4 linked regions of the Saccharomyces cerevisiae S288C genome follow. The protein of the gene in region 1 binds, or shares a complex with, the protein of each later gene. Each region holds a gene or a part of one and is shown in the gene's direction. Other genes may lie near its edges. The genes, in order: SEH1, NUP49, NUP42 and NUP159.

The links.
Region 2: SEH1 (region 1) and NUP49 share a complex: the UniProt entries of both Saccharomyces cerevisiae proteins name them as parts of the nuclear pore complex.
Region 3: SEH1 (region 1) and NUP42 share a complex: the UniProt entries of both Saccharomyces cerevisiae proteins name them as parts of the nuclear pore complex.
Region 4: SEH1 (region 1) and NUP159 share a complex: the UniProt entries of both Saccharomyces cerevisiae proteins name them as parts of the nuclear pore complex.

Annotation. Positions count from the first base shown.
Region 1 is NC_001139.9:311,118-314,998, forward strand, and holds SEH1 (Seh1p), read left to right. Parts: upstream 1-2,116; coding exon 2,117-3,166; downstream 3,167-3,881. Other genes in the region: 60S ribosomal protein uL15 RPL28, read left to right, coding at 410-810; YGK1 (5'-deoxynucleotidase), read left to right, coding at 1,076-1,723; ribosome biogenesis GTPase LSG1, read left to right, coding at 3,514-3,881. UniProt on the Saccharomyces cerevisiae protein: Functions as a component of the nuclear pore complex (NPC).
Region 2 is NC_001139.9:178,704-183,240, forward strand, and holds NUP49 (FG-nucleoporin NUP49), read left to right. Parts: upstream 1-1,996; coding exon 1,997-3,415; downstream 3,416-4,537. Other genes in the region: chromatin-binding exonuclease XRN1, read right to left, coding at 1-1,410; RNA-dependent ATPase ROK1, read left to right, coding at 3,687-4,537. UniProt on the Saccharomyces cerevisiae protein: Functions as a component of the nuclear pore complex (NPC).
Region 3 is NC_001136.10:842,875-847,083, reverse strand, and holds NUP42 (FG-nucleoporin NUP42), read left to right. Parts: upstream 1-2,222; coding exon 2,223-3,515; downstream 3,516-4,209. Other genes in the region: MSS116 (ATP-dependent RNA helicase), read left to right, coding at 1-1,132; NAD-dependent histone deacetylase HST4, read right to left, coding at 3,635-4,209. UniProt on the Saccharomyces cerevisiae protein: Functions as a component of the nuclear pore complex (NPC).
Region 4 is NC_001141.2:143,664-150,950, reverse strand, and holds NUP159 (FG-nucleoporin NUP159), read left to right. Parts: upstream 1-2,241; coding exon 2,242-6,624; downstream 6,625-7,287. Other genes in the region: mitogen-activated protein kinase tyrosine protein phosphatase SDP1, read right to left, coding at 1-392; putative porin POR2, read left to right, coding at 963-1,808; HIS5 (histidinol-phosphate transaminase), read right to left, coding at 6,866-7,287. UniProt on the Saccharomyces cerevisiae protein: Functions as a component of the nuclear pore complex (NPC).

The DNA of each region.
Region 1 (3,881 bases):
AATGTCAATCAGCTAAGTGTACTCAACATATTTCTTTGTGTTTTGATTGCGAACTTTGTATTACCATCTCACTGTTGAGACGGCTTATTTGAGGTAATAGCTCGAGTAAATGTACTCTTCCATCGCAAACTGAGCAAAAAGAAAGTGTGCATAGCCTTTGTCATACTTCTCCTTTATTATACCATGATATTCAGAACAGTCATACTGTCTACTCATTTTACGGCTATAAAAGGTAACTTTCATTTAGATTATGGAAAGCACTAATTATCGCTGTATCAAATGGTTGTAGAGAGCGCAATTATGAAAAAGAGTTACCACGTTTCTTTTGTTTCGATAAAATGTCCAGTTGAAAACCTGTTTTACTAACGATTTAAAAATTGTATTTCATTACAATATTTTTTTTGTACAGCCGGTAAAGGTCGTATCGGTAAGCACAGAAAGCACCCCGGTGGTAGAGGTATGGCCGGTGGTCAACATCACCACAGAATTAACATGGATAAATACCATCCAGGTTATTTCGGTAAGGTTGGTATGAGATACTTCCACAAGCAACAAGCTCATTTCTGGAAGCCAGTCTTGAACTTGGACAAATTGTGGACATTGATCCCAGAAGACAAGAGAGACCAATACTTGAAATCTGCTTCTAAGGAAACTGCTCCAGTTATTGACACTTTGGCAGCCGGTTACGGTAAGATCTTGGGTAAGGGTAGAATTCCAAATGTTCCAGTTATCGTCAAAGCTAGATTCGTCTCCAAGTTGGCTGAAGAAAAAATCAGAGCTGCTGGTGGTGTTGTTGAATTGATCGCTTAAGCGCATCAACAAAAACTCTATGTATTTTCCAATAAATTATATATCTTCAGTTTAATCTAATTCAACATCTACTTCTGTATTATTTCTATCACCCATTTTCACCGTTTTTTCGTCTTGTCTATTTTGAAGTTACCAGTGGCAGATCCCAACGCTTTTATCGCTTTTTTAAAAGATTTTCAAAATCCATATATAAACATAGGGTCCAAAAAGAAAACAAATAACAAAACAAGAAAACCTATTCGAGGTAAAGACCAGGAAAAACAAAATGACTGCAGTTAACATCTGGAAGCCAGAAGATAATATACCTAGGGAGATTTTGGCAATTCTTTCGAAACCTCACCCAAATTATCAGTTAGCGTTTTTGAATATTATACAACTTTTGAAAACGCAAAGAAGAACTGGTTGGGTTGACCATGGTATTGACCCATGCGAAAGTATATCTGACCATATGTACAGAATGGGTTTAACTACCATGCTGATTACGGACAAGAATGTTGATCGTAACAAATGTATCAGAATCGCACTTGTTCACGATTTTGCGGAGTCATTAGTTGGTGATATTACACCTAATGACCCAATGACAAAGGAAGAGAAACATCGCAGAGAATTTGAAACTGTCAAGTATCTCTGTGAAAGCATAATAAGGCCCTGCAGTGAAAGCGCATCTAGGGAAATTCTTGATGACTGGTTAGCATACGAAAAGCAGACCTGTTTGGAAGGAAGATATGTCAAAGATATTGATAAGTATGAAATGTTGGTTCAATGTTTTGAGTACGAACAAAAGTATAATGGCAAGAAGGATTTGAAACAATTTTTGGGAGCCATCAATGATATAAAAACTGATGAAGTTAAAAAATGGACACAATCTTTACTGGAAGATCGACAAGCCTTTTTCGACAGTTTGAAGGAGTAATAATGTGGCCTTTTGAAAGAAAAGTTAGTGCTTTTTTTTCTTTTCTCAAACCTTCACCTGGTGGTGCGTATCATTTATAATAACATCTTGATGCTTTTCAACGAGATAGTGCCCATTTTATTTTGCATGTATTATACTTCCAGCACCCGGTGTGCATTATATGTAACTTTAGAAATAATCTTTTGTATATTATTCGCGATTGAATGTGCGTGCTGCATTATCAACCAAGTTTTAATATATCTGTTTCTCTTATTTATTGTTAGTTAAGTCTTCGGCAAAACGATGGAAAAAATCATGAACTGAATAGAGACAAGTAAACCAAATTATAAACAAGGTTTCCCTTCTGAAGAGATACTAAGGAAGAAGAAGAACGACCCAATAATATTTCTGAATATGCAACCATTTGATAGTGGGCATGATGATTTAGTTCATGATGTCGTTTATGACTTTTACGGAAGACATGTGGCAACATGCTCTTCTGATCAACATATTAAAGTTTTTAAATTAGACAAGGACACGAGTAATTGGGAACTCAGTGACTCATGGAGAGCTCACGACAGTAGTATCGTGGCCATTGATTGGGCCAGTCCAGAATATGGGCGCATCATTGCTTCAGCCTCTTACGATAAGACGGTAAAATTATGGGAAGAAGATCCCGACCAAGAAGAATGCTCTGGCCGTCGTTGGAACAAGCTGTGTACCCTGAATGATTCCAAAGGATCACTTTATAGTGTAAAATTTGCGCCAGCGCATTTGGGCTTAAAATTAGCTTGTTTGGGTAACGATGGAATCCTCAGACTTTATGATGCCTTAGAACCTTCTGACCTAAGGTCATGGACACTGACTTCTGAGATGAAAGTGCTATCTATACCACCAGCAAATCATTTACAGTCTGATTTTTGTCTCTCTTGGTGTCCTTCGAGATTTTCTCCTGAAAAGCTCGCAGTCTCTGCATTGGAACAAGCGATTATATACCAAAGGGGTAAAGACGGTAAACTTCACGTTGCAGCAAAACTTCCCGGTCATAAAAGTTTAATAAGAAGTATCAGCTGGGCTCCTTCCATTGGTAGATGGTATCAACTCATTGCAACAGGTTGCAAAGATGGTAGAATTAGAATTTTCAAAATCACAGAAAAACTAAGTCCCCTGGCCTCAGAGGAGTCTTTAACTAACTCAAATATGTTTGATAATAGTGCTGATGTTGACATGGATGCACAGGGCAGATCAGACTCAAATACCGAAGAGAAAGCTGAGCTACAATCAAACTTGCAAGTTGAACTTCTAAGCGAGCATGATGACCATAATGGCGAAGTTTGGTCCGTGTCTTGGAATTTAACGGGTACAATCTTAAGCAGTGCTGGGGATGATGGGAAGGTACGTTTATGGAAAGCCACTTATTCAAATGAATTTAAGTGTATGTCAGTAATTACTGCCCAACAATAAATAAGAATATATGTATACATAACATTATATATTGGTACTTTATACGTGTGCATTATTCTGTATAATACGAGGCAACAGATGAATCAAGAAAGATGATGCTTTTAAAAAGCTCTTACAAATATAATGATATTACATCAAATGATATTATTATTCTTGATATTGGGTATTCTTTCGAATTATATCAAGCTTCCCTTCCCTCGCCTTTTCGCCTGGAAATTTTTCAATGCCGAGATTAAAAAATTTGTCAATGAAAATGCATTCTACTACTTAATAAAGAGGTGATGAGCTTATAAGCCAACTTCTTTTAAACACAAAACTAAATCTGATATTGAGGACCCCCACCAACTATGCCACCAAAAGAAGCTCCCAAGAAATGGAAGGCGCCAAAAGGGCCAAAACCTACCCACCGTAAAAATAAAAATAAGCTTGAATTAGGCAGAGCTATTAAATATGCACGTCAAAAAGAAAATGCCATCGAGTATTTACCTGATGGTGAAATGAGGTTCACTACCGATAAGCATGAGGCCAACTGGGTTAAATTAAGATCTGTAACTCAAGAATCAGCTTTAGATGAATTCTTGAGTACAGCTGCACTGGCAGACAAAGATTTCACGGCCGATAGACATTCAAATGTTAAAATTATTAGAATGGATAGCGGTAATGATTCTGCGACATCTCAAGGGTTTTCTATGACTAATGAGCAGCGTGGAAATCT
Region 2 (4,537 bases), 130 kb from region 1:
TTCTTCTTCTGTTTCATCAGGATTAATAGAATCAAGATCCATTTTTAGCGAATAACTACCTTTGGATTTGGAATGCGTTATAAAAAGACCCAAATCAAAAGCGAATTCTTTTAAAAATTCTAAATGATCTTTCATGTCTAAGTCCTTAGGTAACTCTAAAGTTGGAATTTCTTCATCTGGTAAATCAGGCGATAATTTTTCCTGTAATTGCTCCATCAACCATGGTTTTATACTTCCAATTAATTTCTTCTGTTGTTTTACCAGTAATTTTTTACCAACCCTCTGTCTTTTCCTTTCACCCTCCAAAGAAATATTCTCTAATTGCTTGTTGAACCACTCAACGTCTATATCATCCTTTTCGAAATTTAATAACTCAAATTGAGACAGATAATTTAACCAGACACCTAATCTCTTTAAATTTATTTTACCATGTTCATTAATGTAGCCATCAGTATGTAAAAGAGCTTCTTTGAACGTTTGTAACAAAACGGGAAATGCTCCTTTGTTAAGGTGCAAATCTGGCAAATTGGGCAAGAAATCATTACCAATGACGAACATGACAAGAATAAAATCATCCAAAATACGTTCAAAATTGTATTCAAATTGCATTTCATCGGCAATTTCTTTGAATTCCAACTCCATGTATTCTCTTAATAAAGAAAGATGTAATAAGTAGAAATTTTGATGTTCAAGCGATTTTTTTTCACTATTTCTTCTACCAAATGTCACTTCTTCTCTCAATAACGCAAAATGTGGCCCATGAGTAGACAAACCCAGCATAATCAAATCTGCGTCAAGACCGTAAATACAATGTCTCGTATTCTGGTTGAAATCCTTTTGGGATTTTAAATGCCTTATAAAGTTCATGATCTTGTGTTCACCTTCACCTGGAACTTCATGGCCAGAAAATATGATTTGCACTTCCCTCCATTTGGAATCGTTAGAAATCTTGTCGTGAATAAAATATTGTAAGTTTTTGGTCAATTTGGCCATAAACTCCGTACCTGGAGTAATAGAATTCGAATCAAATGGCTCACCCTTAGGAATCTCGTCACCATTCTCAATAGCCTTCTTCAAGGCTTTTTCTGCATCCATAGCGGTTCTGAATCTACGAGCTCTTTGTTGATTCATCTTGGCACGAGGGGCCACACCATCAATAGCCATGTAGAAAATCTTCTTGGGCTTGATTGTTTGAAAAAGGTGATCGATATACGTACAGATTTTTGCAAAAACCTCTTCTTCAGTTAATCGCTTGGTTACATCATCGTCGTTACCATGCGTACAATTATGTAAAATCGAATTCATATCCAGGTATAAGTTATCAAACTCAGGAATCTGTGTTCCCTCAATAAGCTGTAAAATCATGGGCCATCTTTCTGAGATGTACCTGAAAAATTTTGGAATACCCATACCGTACTGATATATATTTGTTGCTGCTGTTGTTACAAGTGTTGATTTTTTTTCTCCTTATAGTACACGAATCGTCCTAGGATTAGTCAATTGCTTATTGTGAACCCGATTATAAGTACGGAAGAAGACAGTATCCTTTAGAAAATAAACTATTAACAGGAACGGAAATAAAAGGCAGAGAGAAAATAATAAAAGAATCGGTTCGCTTGTGCGAACGCCAAACAGATTTTATAATAACGGAAGAGCTGCTGAAAAAAAAAGCAAGCTGCAACTGTTATATTTGCGTAGATAAACTTTACAACCGGTAATTGGAAGTCGTAAGTACTTAGTTTGACGTTTTCAGTACTCGTTAAACTACTCCTTAAATTGCTTTCTAACCTCTTCTTGTTTGTCTCTGTTGTTACTTGCTCTGCGGTGGCGAAAAGACGAGCAAAGGAGGTTGTATATATCACTCAACACGGAATGTATTACAGCTTTCTCAAATAAATGTAGTTGAAAAAGACCATTAATCGTGAGAATAGTTACTGATCAGGTGATGAGACGATAAAAACAGTAATTGAGAGGGTTTTCACGGGTAGTGGGCACAATGTTTGGATTAAATAAAGCATCTTCGACACCTGCAGGTGGGCTCTTTGGTCAGGCCAGCGGAGCTAGCACTGGAAACGCGAATACTGGGTTTTCGTTTGGTGGGACTCAAACTGGACAAAACACCGGCCCAAGTACAGGTGGACTATTTGGCGCTAAACCAGCCGGATCTACAGGAGGATTAGGTGCATCATTTGGTCAGCAGCAACAACAATCTCAGACAAATGCATTTGGAGGAAGCGCCACCACCGGAGGGGGCCTTTTCGGTAACAAACCTAACAATACGGCGAACACTGGGGGCGGGTTATTTGGCGCTAATTCGAACAGTAATTCTGGCAGTTTGTTTGGTTCCAACAATGCACAGACGAGTCGTGGTTTGTTTGGTAATAATAACACTAATAATATCAATAATAGTAGTAGTGGCATGAATAATGCAAGCGCTGGACTATTTGGCTCTAAACCTGCAGGAGGCACTTCTTTGTTCGGTAATACAAGCACCTCTTCGGCCCCTGCGCAGAACCAGGGCATGTTTGGTGCAAAACCAGCTGGTACATCTCTATTCGGCAATAATGCAGGTAATACGACCACTGGTGGAGGGTTATTTGGCTCCAAACCGACAGGAGCAACGTCTTTGTTTGGTTCATCAAATAACAACAACAATAACAATAATAGTAACAACATCATGAGTGCGTCAGGCGGGCTATTTGGTAATCAGCAGCAGCAACTGCAGCAACAACCACAAATGCAGTGCGCATTGCAAAATCTATCTCAGCTCCCTATTACCCCAATGACACGGATTTCCGAATTACCACCTCAAATACGTCAAGAAATTGAACAACTAGATCAATATATTCAAAAACAAGTGCAGATCTCGCACCATTTGAAGGCCGATACAATCGATCATGATGAATTGATAGATTCCATTCCTCGTGATGTTGCATACCTACTGAAGTCAGAATCTGCAACAAGTCAATATTTAAAGCAAGATTTGAAGAAAATATCCTCATTTAAATCGCTAATCGATGAGGACCTTCTAGACACGCAAACTTTTTCGGTGCTCTTACAGCAACTATTAACTCCGGGAAGCAAAATTTCTTCTAATGACTTAGACAAATTCTTTCAAAAGAAAATTCATCTCTACGAGAAGAAGTTAGAGGATTACTGCCGTATTCTCTCTGATATAGAAACTGCGGTAAATGGCATTGATACAGATTTATTTGGCGCCCCAAATAACCCTAATTCTACAGCTATCACAGCAGATCTAGGTTCATCCGAAGCAGAGAACCTACTGCAGTTGAAGACAGGCTTAGCTGCCATAGTCTCTACTGTCATTGAGGAATTCACACTGTTTATGGATATCGCTGAGAGAATCGCCGTGTTACATCAAAAAACGAAAACACTGGCATCATTGAGCATATGAGTAAATCGCCCTGAAAGTTTATATAGTGCGTATAACAAGTACAAATGTCTTGTACAAATGTAATTTATACTAAATGCAATAGAATATAACATCAATCACAGTTTTTCAGTCACCATAATGGCGTCTTAGAGGCCGAACTAACTTTTCTTCGTGAAAAATTTTTTGCGATGAGATGGGAAGGAAAAAAAGTAATATTGACATCTTCAATTGAGAGATATTACCTGCAAAAAGGTACATACGATAGTAGAAGTTATCGAACAGGCAAGCCACCATGGATATTTTTAGAGTATTAACTAGAGGAGCTTCCGTGAAGAAAGAGTCAGGCCCAAAGGCTAAGGCAGCAGATTACAGCGTTATAAATGGAAATGATGAGAATCATAAGGAAGATAATAATGAAAGCCAGATCGTGAAAGAACTTGATTTCTTTCGAAACAAGAGAATCATTAGCAAGGTAGAGGATGATAGAGAGAAGACAACCGAAAACGATTCTCCAAACAAAGAGGAGAAGAGCGGCAATGATGATGGTCTGATAAAACCAGTGATTACCAATACCGTTGAGGCATCCGCGTTGAGAAAATCATATAAGGGAAACGTGTCGGGTATAGATATACCACTTCCAATAGGTTCGTTTGAAGATTTAATTTCAAGGTTTTCATTCGATAAGCGTTTACTGAATAACTTGATTGAAAACGGGTTTACTGAGCCTACCCCAATTCAATGTGAATGTATTCCTGTTGCTTTGAATAATAGAGACGTTTTGGCATGTGGTCCCACAGGGTCTGGTAAGACGTTAGCATTCTTAATTCCGCTGGTTCAGCAGATTATTGATGACAAGCAAACTGCAGGGTTGAAAGGGTTAATCATTTCGCCTACAAAGGAATTAGCGAACCAAATTTTTATTGAATGTTTTAAGCTATCTTACAAGATATTTTTGGAGAAAAAAAGGCCTCTGCAAGTTGCACTCTTATCTAAATCTTTAGGCGCTAAATTGAAAAACAAGGTAGTTAGTGATAAGAAATATGATATAATCATTTCTACCCCATTAAGACTAATCGATGTTGTGAAAAACGAAGCTCTCGATCTCTCCAAAGTTAAGCATTTGATATTTGATGAAGCTGATAA
Region 3 (4,209 bases), on another chromosome or scaffold:
AAATGAAAAGAACTCCAAATCAGCCGATAATATCAAGACTTTGTTGTTCTCTGCTACTCTGGACGACAAAGTACAAAAGTTGGCAAACAATATCATGAATAAAAAAGAATGTCTCTTTTTAGACACAGTAGATAAGAATGAACCTGAAGCACATGAAAGAATTGATCAGTCTGTCGTCATTTCAGAAAAGTTTGCCAATAGTATATTTGCTGCTGTGGAGCATATAAAGAAACAAATAAAGGAAAGAGATTCTAATTACAAAGCCATTATTTTTGCACCAACTGTTAAATTCACATCCTTTTTGTGCAGTATTTTAAAGAATGAATTTAAGAAAGATTTACCAATTTTGGAATTTCATGGTAAAATTACTCAAAATAAAAGAACAAGTTTAGTTAAAAGATTCAAAAAAGATGAATCCGGTATTTTGGTTTGTACGGATGTGGGAGCCCGTGGTATGGATTTCCCAAACGTCCACGAAGTTTTGCAAATTGGTGTTCCATCTGAGTTGGCTAATTATATTCATAGAATTGGTAGAACAGCCAGAAGTGGGAAAGAAGGATCTTCTGTGCTATTCATTTGTAAAGATGAATTGCCATTTGTTAGAGAGTTGGAAGATGCAAAAAATATAGTCATTGCCAAACAAGAAAAATATGAGCCCAGTGAAGAAATAAAATCTGAGGTCCTAGAGGCAGTGACCGAAGAACCGGAAGACATATCAGATATTGTAATAAGTTTAATCTCATCCTACAGATCCTGTATCAAGGAATACAGGTTTTCTGAAAGGCGCATACTTCCTGAAATTGCTTCCACTTATGGTGTACTGTTAAATGATCCTCAATTAAAGATTCCAGTATCCAGAAGGTTTTTAGATAAATTAGGTTTGAGCCGTAGTCCAATTGGTAAGGCAATGTTTGAAATTAGAGACTATAGTAGTAGAGATGGAAATAACAAGTCCTACGATTATGATGATGATTCAGAAATTTCTTTCAGAGGCAACAAAAACTATAATAATAGGAGCCAAAATAGAGATTACGATGACGAACCGTTTAGACGCAGCAACAACAATAGACGCTCATTCTCCCGTAGTAATGATAAAAATAATTACTCCAGTAGAAACAGCAACATATATTAGAAAAGATAAAAAAGGAGGACCAAGAGATGTGGGTTGTATTTTAAATAACAATTCCTCTATTAAGACGCCTGTATTTTAGACCCCATCTTGATTCAATACTTTCACGTGTAAATACCTAGTATATAAATATTAAACAAAAATTTTTTTTCTTCTCCTATTCTCTTAAAATGATAACTATACGAAGATCCTACTGGTATATTTATTCGTCAATGCTTATTTACGACCGGTACCTCCATTCTTACTTTCGCTCTTCCTCCTCTCAAAGGAAAAGTAATTCTAACATTGTAATTCTTATTTAAACGGATGGAAGAAAGCTTTTGAGAATTTACTTGAAAAGTCAGGGTGTCTTAGGCGATTGATCACGGACATAGCCATATTACGAAAACTTCATTCTGAATATTGCCAACGAGACAATCGTGGGCTTGGTAATCGTTGAAAAATTTTCACATATTTTATGAACAGCTGAGCCTATTAACAATGAAAATAGTCTATACGATAGTCCAGAACTGAATAACAGTGTCAATCACTTTTTTTTTTATGATTAAATCCTAGTTAAAGTGCCGCTCTGCGAAAGAAAAATCAATAAATACCATTTGTTAGTGATCTAGCAATAATATCAATGACATCTTGTCTTATCTTAAAAATAAACAAAAAATTCTTTACAGTGTACTGAGCATTAATCTGGCTACGGCCTGGAGGGAAATTATGTCTTATACGAATTTTGCTCCGGCAATTCTATTTACGCTGTTTAGCTTATCATGCGATTTCAACCTTCTTTATATAGTAAATTAGCTTCGAAATAAAAGTATTCGCGAGAGGACAAGACATGAAACCTAAACCACGACGCTGAAGGTAACGACATCATAATACGTTTCAAAGGGCTAACCTTAATATACTGACATCTAGAAATATATTAATTCTGCATATCAAGAAACACGCCGACTGAGGGTGCAAGGTATTTGAAAAAAAATAGTGAATCAATAGATGAGCGCACAATGTTTAAAGTACTATAACACTGAACTGTTGTACTTTAACGCAAAAGCTCATCAAGCTATCATTAAATTTCGACCCGAGCAACGACTCAACTGTAATGTCAGCTTTCGGTAACCCATTCACGTCGGGTGCTAAGCCTAATCTTTCTAATACAAGTGGTATCAACCCTTTCACAAATAATGCTGCTAGTACCAATAACATGGGAGGAAGTGCATTTGGAAGACCTAGTTTTGGAACAGCAAACACAATGACAGGAGGAACCACCACTTCAGCATTTGGAATGCCCCAGTTTGGTACCAATACAGGCAATACTGGCAATACGTCAATTAGCGCTTTTGGGAACACCAGTAATGCGGCTAAACCGTCAGCATTTGGAGCACCAGCATTTGGTTCTAGCGCCCCCATCAATGTTAATCCGCCTTCTACTACGTCAGCATTTGGAGCACCGTCATTTGGATCAACAGGTTTTGGTGCTATGGCGGCGACAAGTAATCCTTTTGGTAAAAGTCCTGGCTCAATGGGCTCTGCATTTGGTCAACCAGCTTTTGGAGCGAACAAAACTGCTATCCCTTCTAGTTCGGTTAGTAATAGTAATAACTCCGCATTTGGTGCTGCGTCAAACACGCCCTTGACCACAACTTCTCCTTTTGGTTCACTGCAACAAAACGCATCACAAAATGCATCATCTACATCGTCAGCGTTTGGCAAACCGACTTTCGGCGCAGCTACTAATACCCAGTCGCCATTTGGTACTATTCAAAATACAAGTACAAGCAGTGGGACAGGAGTATCCCCATTTGGCACATTTGGAACTAATAGTAATAACAAATCACCTTTTAGTAATCTACAGAGCGGAGCAGGCGCTGGTTCTTCGCCGTTTGGTACTACAACCTCCAAAGCTAACAACAACAATAACGTGGGCAGTAGCGCATTCGGAACGACGAATAATCAATCTCCTTTTAGCGGAGGTTCTGGGGGCACCTTTGGTTCTGCTTCTAACCTCAATAAAAATACCAATGGCAACTTTCAATCTTCTTTTGGTAATAAAGGGTTTTCATTCGGAATTACACCACAAAACGATGCCAACAAAGTCTCGCAATCGAACCCTTCATTTGGGCAAACAATGCCAAACACAGATCCGAACATAAGTTTGAAGAGCAATGGTAACGCAACCTCTTTTGGATTTGGACAACAACAGATGAATGCTACTAATGTCAACGCTAATACGGCCACCGGAAAAATTAGATTTGTTCAAGGGTTATCTTCTGAAAAGGACGGTATTCTAGAATTGGCCGATCTCGCAGAGGAAACACTGAAAATATTCAGAGCAAACAAGTTTGAACTAGGCCTTGTCCCTGATATACCTCCACCACCTGCATTGGTTGCATAGTAAGGTCAAAGAAAAACATACAAAATGGTAACTTAAACAATATATATGAATATATATATATATCTAATGAAAAATGCATTAATTTTATCTCCAACCTTTTTTGGTAGGACAAATACTTTCTATAATAATGAGGTAACATGCTGACAATCTCCCAGTACAACTAGGTCTACAAATTTCAAAGAGTCTAGCACATTCTTAGGCGGCATACTGGTGTTTAAATATAACACAATACCCCTGTTTGCATGGACTTTGGCCGCAAACTGCCTGCAAATATTTTTCACTCCGGGAATCTTCAAACTCGTTCCAACAATAATCAAACAATCAATTCTTTTCTTTAAGTCATTATTGGCAATTTCACCGATAAAATCACCTTCAGGGTGGACCTCATTGTATAAAATTACTCTTGGACGCAACTTGCCCACACCAGTAGATCTTAAGCCTGCCATTTTTCTAACTGTTTCATATTCTTCACATTGTGGACATGACGGTATGATTTCAGTCCGAGAATCAAATTTGTCGTCGCATTTGAACAGTTCAGGGTCAAAAGGTTTGATATTCAGACATTTATTGCATTCCATGTGTTTTATGCTTCCGTGTAATTGTACTGTACTGGGTATTGGCTTCGCCAGAGGCACATTAGTTGATAAATGAGGTAATTGTGTATCTAAACCGTCAATATTCTGCGTGTACAGTC
Region 4 (7,287 bases), on another chromosome or scaffold:
GTCGTAGCTGCGTGTATGATGCTAGTCAATGATGGCAAGTCCAACGCAATCTGCGAATCATGTTCCCATCGGTAGTGATGGTACTCGACAGCAGGAACCTGCATTCGTAAATCGTTTGCCTCTTCAGCAACGTTGATGACCACATCAAAGGGTAAAAGCTCTTTTACCGTGGGCTCTGAATAAAGGTAGATCTTTTCCGGGAGAACAAGTAATGGGCCTTTTGGGTAGATTCTGCGCACGTCCAAACTCGAACAAGGCACGAATTCACGGTCTTCATTCGGGCTTTCTTTGTCCGTAGACCTCTCATCTGTGGCCAGCATAGGAAGAGATGGTCTTTGGCCACTCTTTGGTGCGATGTTCGGTGTTCGCGTGGGTGATGTGTATATGTTCATGCGAGATTATGGCTACAAGTGCGCAGCCGTATGTGTTATTTTAGATAATAGATTATCTTCAACTTTGTTGCTGATCTTGTCTTACTCGTTCTTTTATATCACCCAGTATACCATAAAGGGGATAAGAACTGATTAAAGTTATTCGCTGCGGCAACCTAATTAGGAAGTTGCCTGTTCCAGAAGGGGAGTTGCCAAGGCCGCGCCGTACGACGCAAAAACCCTTTTCTATCTGGAAGATATCTCCTATTCCAATAGTGTGCGCCCTGCCTAGCAAATGAGACGAATAACGGATTCCGCAGAAATGACACACTGCAAAATCTGTTCGTAGTTTTCAGCATTTAAAAGTTTAGTTCTTTTTCTATGCTGCGACTGAGCTTCTGCATTTTTTAACCAAATACTAATTTGTCTTACATGATTGAAAGCGCCTTTAGCAATTCCTTTCCTTTTTTCTCGCTTCCAATTGCAGAAATGGAACAAAAAGAAAAGAAAGAATAGTGAAGATGGAGCTCTTCTGTTTTATTCTCGAGTGAAGGAATTGCATGAAGAGGAAAGTGTTAGAAATTACCTACGATGGCACTACGATTTTTCAACGATATATCTAGAGATGTCAATGGCCTATTCAATAGGGACTTTTTTCACACCAACCCCCTCTCTTTGAATATTTCAACAACCACGGAAAATGGTGTGAATTTTACTCTGAAGGCGAAGCAGGGCGTGACAGAAGGCCCCATCCAAACTAGCGTAGAAGGACGGTTTTATGACAGGAAGGAGGGAGTGTCGCTATCTCAGAGTTGGTCGAACCAGAACAGGTTAAATACAAGAATCGAATTTTCCAAGATAGCACCTGGTTGGAAAGGTGATGTCAACGCATTTTTGACTCCCCAATCCATCAAGAACGCCAAATTTAATTTGAGCTACGCCCAAAAATCGTTTGCAGCAAGAACTTCTATAGACATCTTGCAACCTAAGGACTTTGTCGGAAGTGTTACTTTGGGCCACCGCGGGTTTGTTGGCGGCACTGACATCGCATATGACACAGCTGCGGGTTTATGTGCACGCTATGCTATGTCAATCGGGTATCTTGCCAGAGAATATTCGTTTATTTTGTCTACTAACAACAGGCAATGCGCAACTGCTTCATTTTTTCAAAACGTTAACCGCTATTTGCAAGTGGGAACTAAAGCCACTTTACAATCGAAGACAAGTTCTAATATGAACATTGAATTTGTTACCAGATACGTACCAGATTCTATTTCGCAAGTTAAGGCAAAAATTGCAGATTCAGGCCTGACTACATTGTCGTACAAGCGAAATTTGAATAAAGATATTTCTTTGGGTGTGGGTATGTCTTTCAATGCGCTACAACTGACTGAACCAGTCCACAAATTTGGCTGGTCTCTATCGTTCTCGCCCTGAGAGATTTTATTTTCTTATAAATTTTACTAAATAAGGATTTGTACTTTTGATAGAGTTTTTTTTTTTTCTGACGTTTGTTTAGTTAATATTATATAATAGTATTTAGGAAACTAGGTGGGAGGGGACATCGCAACTTTTATCGTGACCTACGACCAGTGTTTTTTCAATTGTTTGATCAAAAGAGAAAAAAAGACAAAGGACCGAAGGATAGTTGCACGCATAAACTGGAGAAAAAATTGTGTTTGACATCGGCGTTTAGGCTTGTTTGTTCTGTCACACATACGCTGCTTCACACCAATTCATATTTCTCAGGTTAATTTGTCTCCTCTCCAACTTCAATAACGATTTTGCGTGAAGGTTTAATTTCATTATTGCAATTTTAGCAGAGAAACGCACATAAATATATATATATTGATTACAGAACCATTATAACATGTCTTCTTTGAAGGATGAAGTACCCACTGAGACTTCCGAAGACTTCGGTTTTAAGTTTTTAGGTCAAAAACAAATTCTACCTTCCTTCAATGAAAAACTGCCATTTGCATCTCTACAAAATCTCGATATTTCAAACAGTAAGTCTTTATTCGTTGCTGCCTCTGGTAGTAAGGCGGTGGTCGGCGAATTACAATTACTGAGAGATCATATCACCTCCGACTCTACTCCGTTAACGTTCAAGTGGGAGAAAGAAATCCCAGATGTAATATTTGTGTGCTTTCATGGTGATCAGGTTTTGGTTTCAACCAGAAATGCATTATATTCGTTAGACTTGGAGGAATTGAGTGAATTTCGAACGGTCACTTCTTTTGAGAAGCCAGTTTTCCAATTGAAGAACGTTAATAACACTTTAGTAATTTTAAATTCAGTCAATGATTTATCAGCACTGGATTTAAGAACAAAATCGACTAAGCAACTGGCACAAAACGTTACCTCTTTTGATGTCACAAATTCGCAGTTAGCAGTTCTACTAAAAGATAGAAGTTTTCAAAGTTTTGCATGGCGAAATGGCGAAATGGAAAAACAATTTGAGTTCTCTCTACCGTCAGAATTAGAAGAGCTTCCAGTAGAAGAATATTCCCCTTTGAGTGTTACCATTCTCTCTCCACAGGATTTTTTGGCGGTTTTCGGTAATGTTATATCAGAGACCGATGACGAAGTTTCATACGATCAAAAAATGTACATTATAAAGCACATAGACGGCAGCGCCTCATTTCAAGAAACTTTTGATATTACACCTCCATTCGGGCAAATAGTAAGGTTCCCATATATGTACAAAGTTACCTTGTCTGGTTTAATTGAACCTGATGCAAACGTAAATGTGCTAGCATCATCATGTTCAAGTGAAGTAAGTATATGGGACTCGAAACAAGTTATTGAACCTTCCCAGGATTCTGAACGAGCAGTATTGCCCATCAGTGAGGAAACAGATAAGGACACAAATCCAATAGGTGTGGCAGTTGACGTCGTTACTTCAGGCACTATTCTAGAACCTTGTTCCGGTGTTGATACGATAGAGCGATTGCCGCTCGTTTACATATTGAATAACGAAGGTAGCTTACAGATAGTCGGGTTGTTTCATGTGGCAGCAATCAAAAGCGGCCATTATAGCATAAATCTGGAATCTTTAGAACATGAGAAATCTCTCTCTCCTACATCAGAAAAAATTCCTATTGCTGGACAGGAGCAGGAAGAAAAAAAGAAAAATAATGAATCAAGTAAGGCTTTATCAGAGAATCCTTTCACATCAGCAAATACATCAGGCTTCACTTTTCTTAAAACACAACCAGCCGCTGCCAATAGCCTGCAGTCTCAAAGTTCTTCAACCTTTGGTGCTCCCTCATTTGGATCATCCGCATTTAAAATTGACTTGCCATCAGTCTCATCTACCAGTACTGGTGTAGCGTCCAGTGAACAAGACGCAACAGATCCTGCTTCTGCTAAGCCAGTATTCGGCAAACCCGCGTTCGGAGCTATTGCCAAAGAACCGTCAACATCAGAATATGCCTTTGGCAAGCCATCTTTTGGTGCTCCCTCCTTTGGCTCTGGAAAGTCATCTGTTGAATCGCCTGCCTCCGGATCTGCCTTTGGTAAGCCCTCTTTTGGTACTCCTTCCTTTGGCTCTGGAAATTCATCTGTTGAGCCGCCTGCCTCCGGATCTGCATTTGGTAAGCCCTCTTTTGGTACTCCTTCCTTTGGCTCTGGAAATTCATCTGCTGAGCCGCCTGCTTCCGGATCTGCCTTTGGTAAGCCCTCTTTTGGTACATCTGCATTCGGAACTGCATCAAGTAACGAAACTAACTCTGGATCCATATTTGGAAAGGCTGCATTTGGTTCATCATCTTTTGCACCCGCCAACAATGAACTTTTCGGATCAAACTTTACTATTTCAAAACCTACAGTTGACAGCCCAAAGGAGGTAGATTCAACGTCACCTTTCCCATCTTCTGGCGATCAAAGTGAAGATGAGTCTAAGAGTGATGTAGACTCTTCTTCGACACCTTTTGGTACGAAACCTAACACCTCTACGAAACCAAAGACCAATGCCTTTGATTTTGGGAGTTCTTCCTTTGGATCTGGATTTTCAAAGGCTCTGGAATCTGTTGGTTCCGATACAACTTTTAAATTCGGTACTCAGGCTTCACCTTTCTCTTCACAGTTAGGAAACAAATCACCATTCAGTTCCTTCACAAAAGATGATACTGAAAATGGATCTTTAAGTAAGGGCTCTACCAGTGAAATCAATGACGATAATGAAGAACACGAAAGCAATGGTCCCAACGTAAGCGGTAATGATTTGACAGATTCTACGGTTGAGCAAACATCTTCTACTAGATTACCGGAAACTCCCTCGGATGAAGATGGTGAAGTTGTCGAGGAGGAAGCGCAAAAATCCCCCATAGGCAAGCTAACTGAAACTATAAAAAAAAGTGCCAATATTGACATGGCTGGTTTAAAAAATCCTGTATTTGGAAATCATGTCAAAGCAAAATCCGAATCGCCGTTTTCAGCATTTGCAACAAATATTACCAAACCAAGCTCTACAACACCTGCTTTTTCGTTTGGTAACTCCACAATGAATAAAAGTAATACATCTACGGTTTCACCAATGGAAGAAGCTGATACTAAAGAAACTAGTGAAAAGGGCCCCATAACCTTGAAGAGTGTGGAGAATCCGTTTCTACCAGCGAAAGAAGAAAGAACTGGAGAAAGTTCTAAAAAGGATCATAACGATGACCCAAAAGATGGTTATGTATCAGGAAGTGAAATATCTGTAAGGACTTCTGAAAGTGCTTTTGATACCACAGCAAACGAAGAAATTCCAAAGTCACAGGACGTGAACAATCATGAAAAAAGCGAAACAGACCCAAAATATAGTCAACATGCTGTGGTTGATCACGATAACAAGTCTAAAGAAATGAATGAAACTTCGAAGAATAATGAAAGGAGCGGTCAACCAAATCATGGTGTCCAAGGAGATGGAATAGCATTGAAAAAAGACAATGAAAAAGAGAATTTTGATTCAAATATGGCAATAAAGCAATTCGAAGACCACCAATCTTCAGAAGAGGACGCGAGCGAAAAAGACAGTAGACAAAGCAGTGAAGTTAAAGAATCAGATGATAACATGTCACTCAACAGTGACCGGGATGAAAGTATATCTGAGTCCTACGATAAACTGGAAGATATTAATACTGATGAGCTACCTCATGGTGGAGAAGCTTTTAAAGCACGTGAAGTGAGCGCTTCCGCTGATTTTGATGTACAAACTTCATTAGAAGACAATTATGCTGAATCTGGCATACAGACAGACCTTTCAGAAAGTTCCAAGGAAAATGAAGTTCAAACGGATGCCATACCCGTGAAACACAACAGTACACAAACTGTTAAGAAGGAAGCAGTCGACAATGGTCTGCAAACTGAGCCTGTTGAAACATGTAATTTTTCTGTTCAAACATTTGAAGGTGACGAAAATTATTTAGCAGAGCAATGCAAACCAAAGCAATTGAAAGAATATTACACAAGTGCAAAAGTATCAAATATTCCTTTCGTTTCACAAAATTCTACGTTAAGGTTGATTGAGAGTACATTTCAGACGGTCGAAGCTGAGTTTACTGTTCTGATGGAAAACATCCGGAATATGGATACTTTTTTTACTGATCAATCGAGCATCCCTTTGGTGAAGCGTACAGTGCGGTCTATCAATAATCTGTATACTTGGAGAATACCAGAGGCTGAAATTCTATTAAATATTCAGAATAATATCAAGTGTGAACAAATGCAAATAACAAATGCTAACATTCAAGACCTGAAGGAAAAAGTTACAGATTATGTCAGGAAAGATATTGCACAAATAACTGAAGATGTAGCCAATGCAAAAGAGGAGTATCTGTTTTTAATGCATTTTGATGATGCTTCGAGTGGATACGTTAAAGATCTCAGCACGCATCAATTTAGAATGCAAAAGACATTACGTCAAAAGCTATTCGATGTGTCCGCCAAAATTAATCATACTGAAGAGTTGCTGAACATTTTAAAATTGTTCACTGTAAAGAATAAGAGATTGGACGATAATCCATTAGTGGCAAAACTAGCTAAAGAATCTCTTGCACGTGACGGTTTACTAAAAGAAATCAAATTATTGCGTGAGCAAGTGAGTAGGTTACAATTGGAGGAGAAAGGTAAAAAGGCTTCGTCGTTCGATGCATCCTCTTCAATAACAAAGGACATGAAAGGATTTAAAGTAGTAGAAGTTGGGTTGGCCATGAATACGAAAAAGCAAATTGGTGATTTCTTCAAAAATTTGAACATGGCAAAATAGTGATATTTAGCTATATGTACGTTGTTAGTGCCGTTAATAATAAATTCATCCTCTATCATAGAAACAGGGCATGAGAAACGAAGAAAAATTGATATTGTAACAATATCATGAGACCTTTTATAGAAGTGGCGCCAAAACTAAATGTATTTGAAAATACAAAAAACGCACAGGTTTCTTTATATATGTATATATATATATATATATATATAAAACTGTACATATACTGTTTAAATTAATCTATTTATTCATTGGCCAGCTTATATAACGTCTCCTTGAAGTACTTTATCAAATGTGTGTTCTCCTCATGGGTTCCAACGGTAATTCTCAAACATCCGGAACAGCCTAATTCGTTACCTCTAAATCTGACGACAACCCCAGATTGAGTAGCCAATTGGTAATATAACTTCTTTGCCAAGACATTGTCACCCCCGTTGATCCGTATTAAAAGAAAATTAGCATCTAATCCACCAACATATTGGTCATCAACGTAATCCAAAGCAGTTAATTCCTTTAAGAGGCGCATTTTCTCTTCATTGATTATTTTCGAAGTGGCTTCCATCTTCTTTAGATTACTGTCTTGAACAGCTTTTAGTGCATATTCAGAGGCTAGGGAGGAAATATTATAAGGCGCCTTCATTGCATTTAAAATTCTGGCCAACTCTG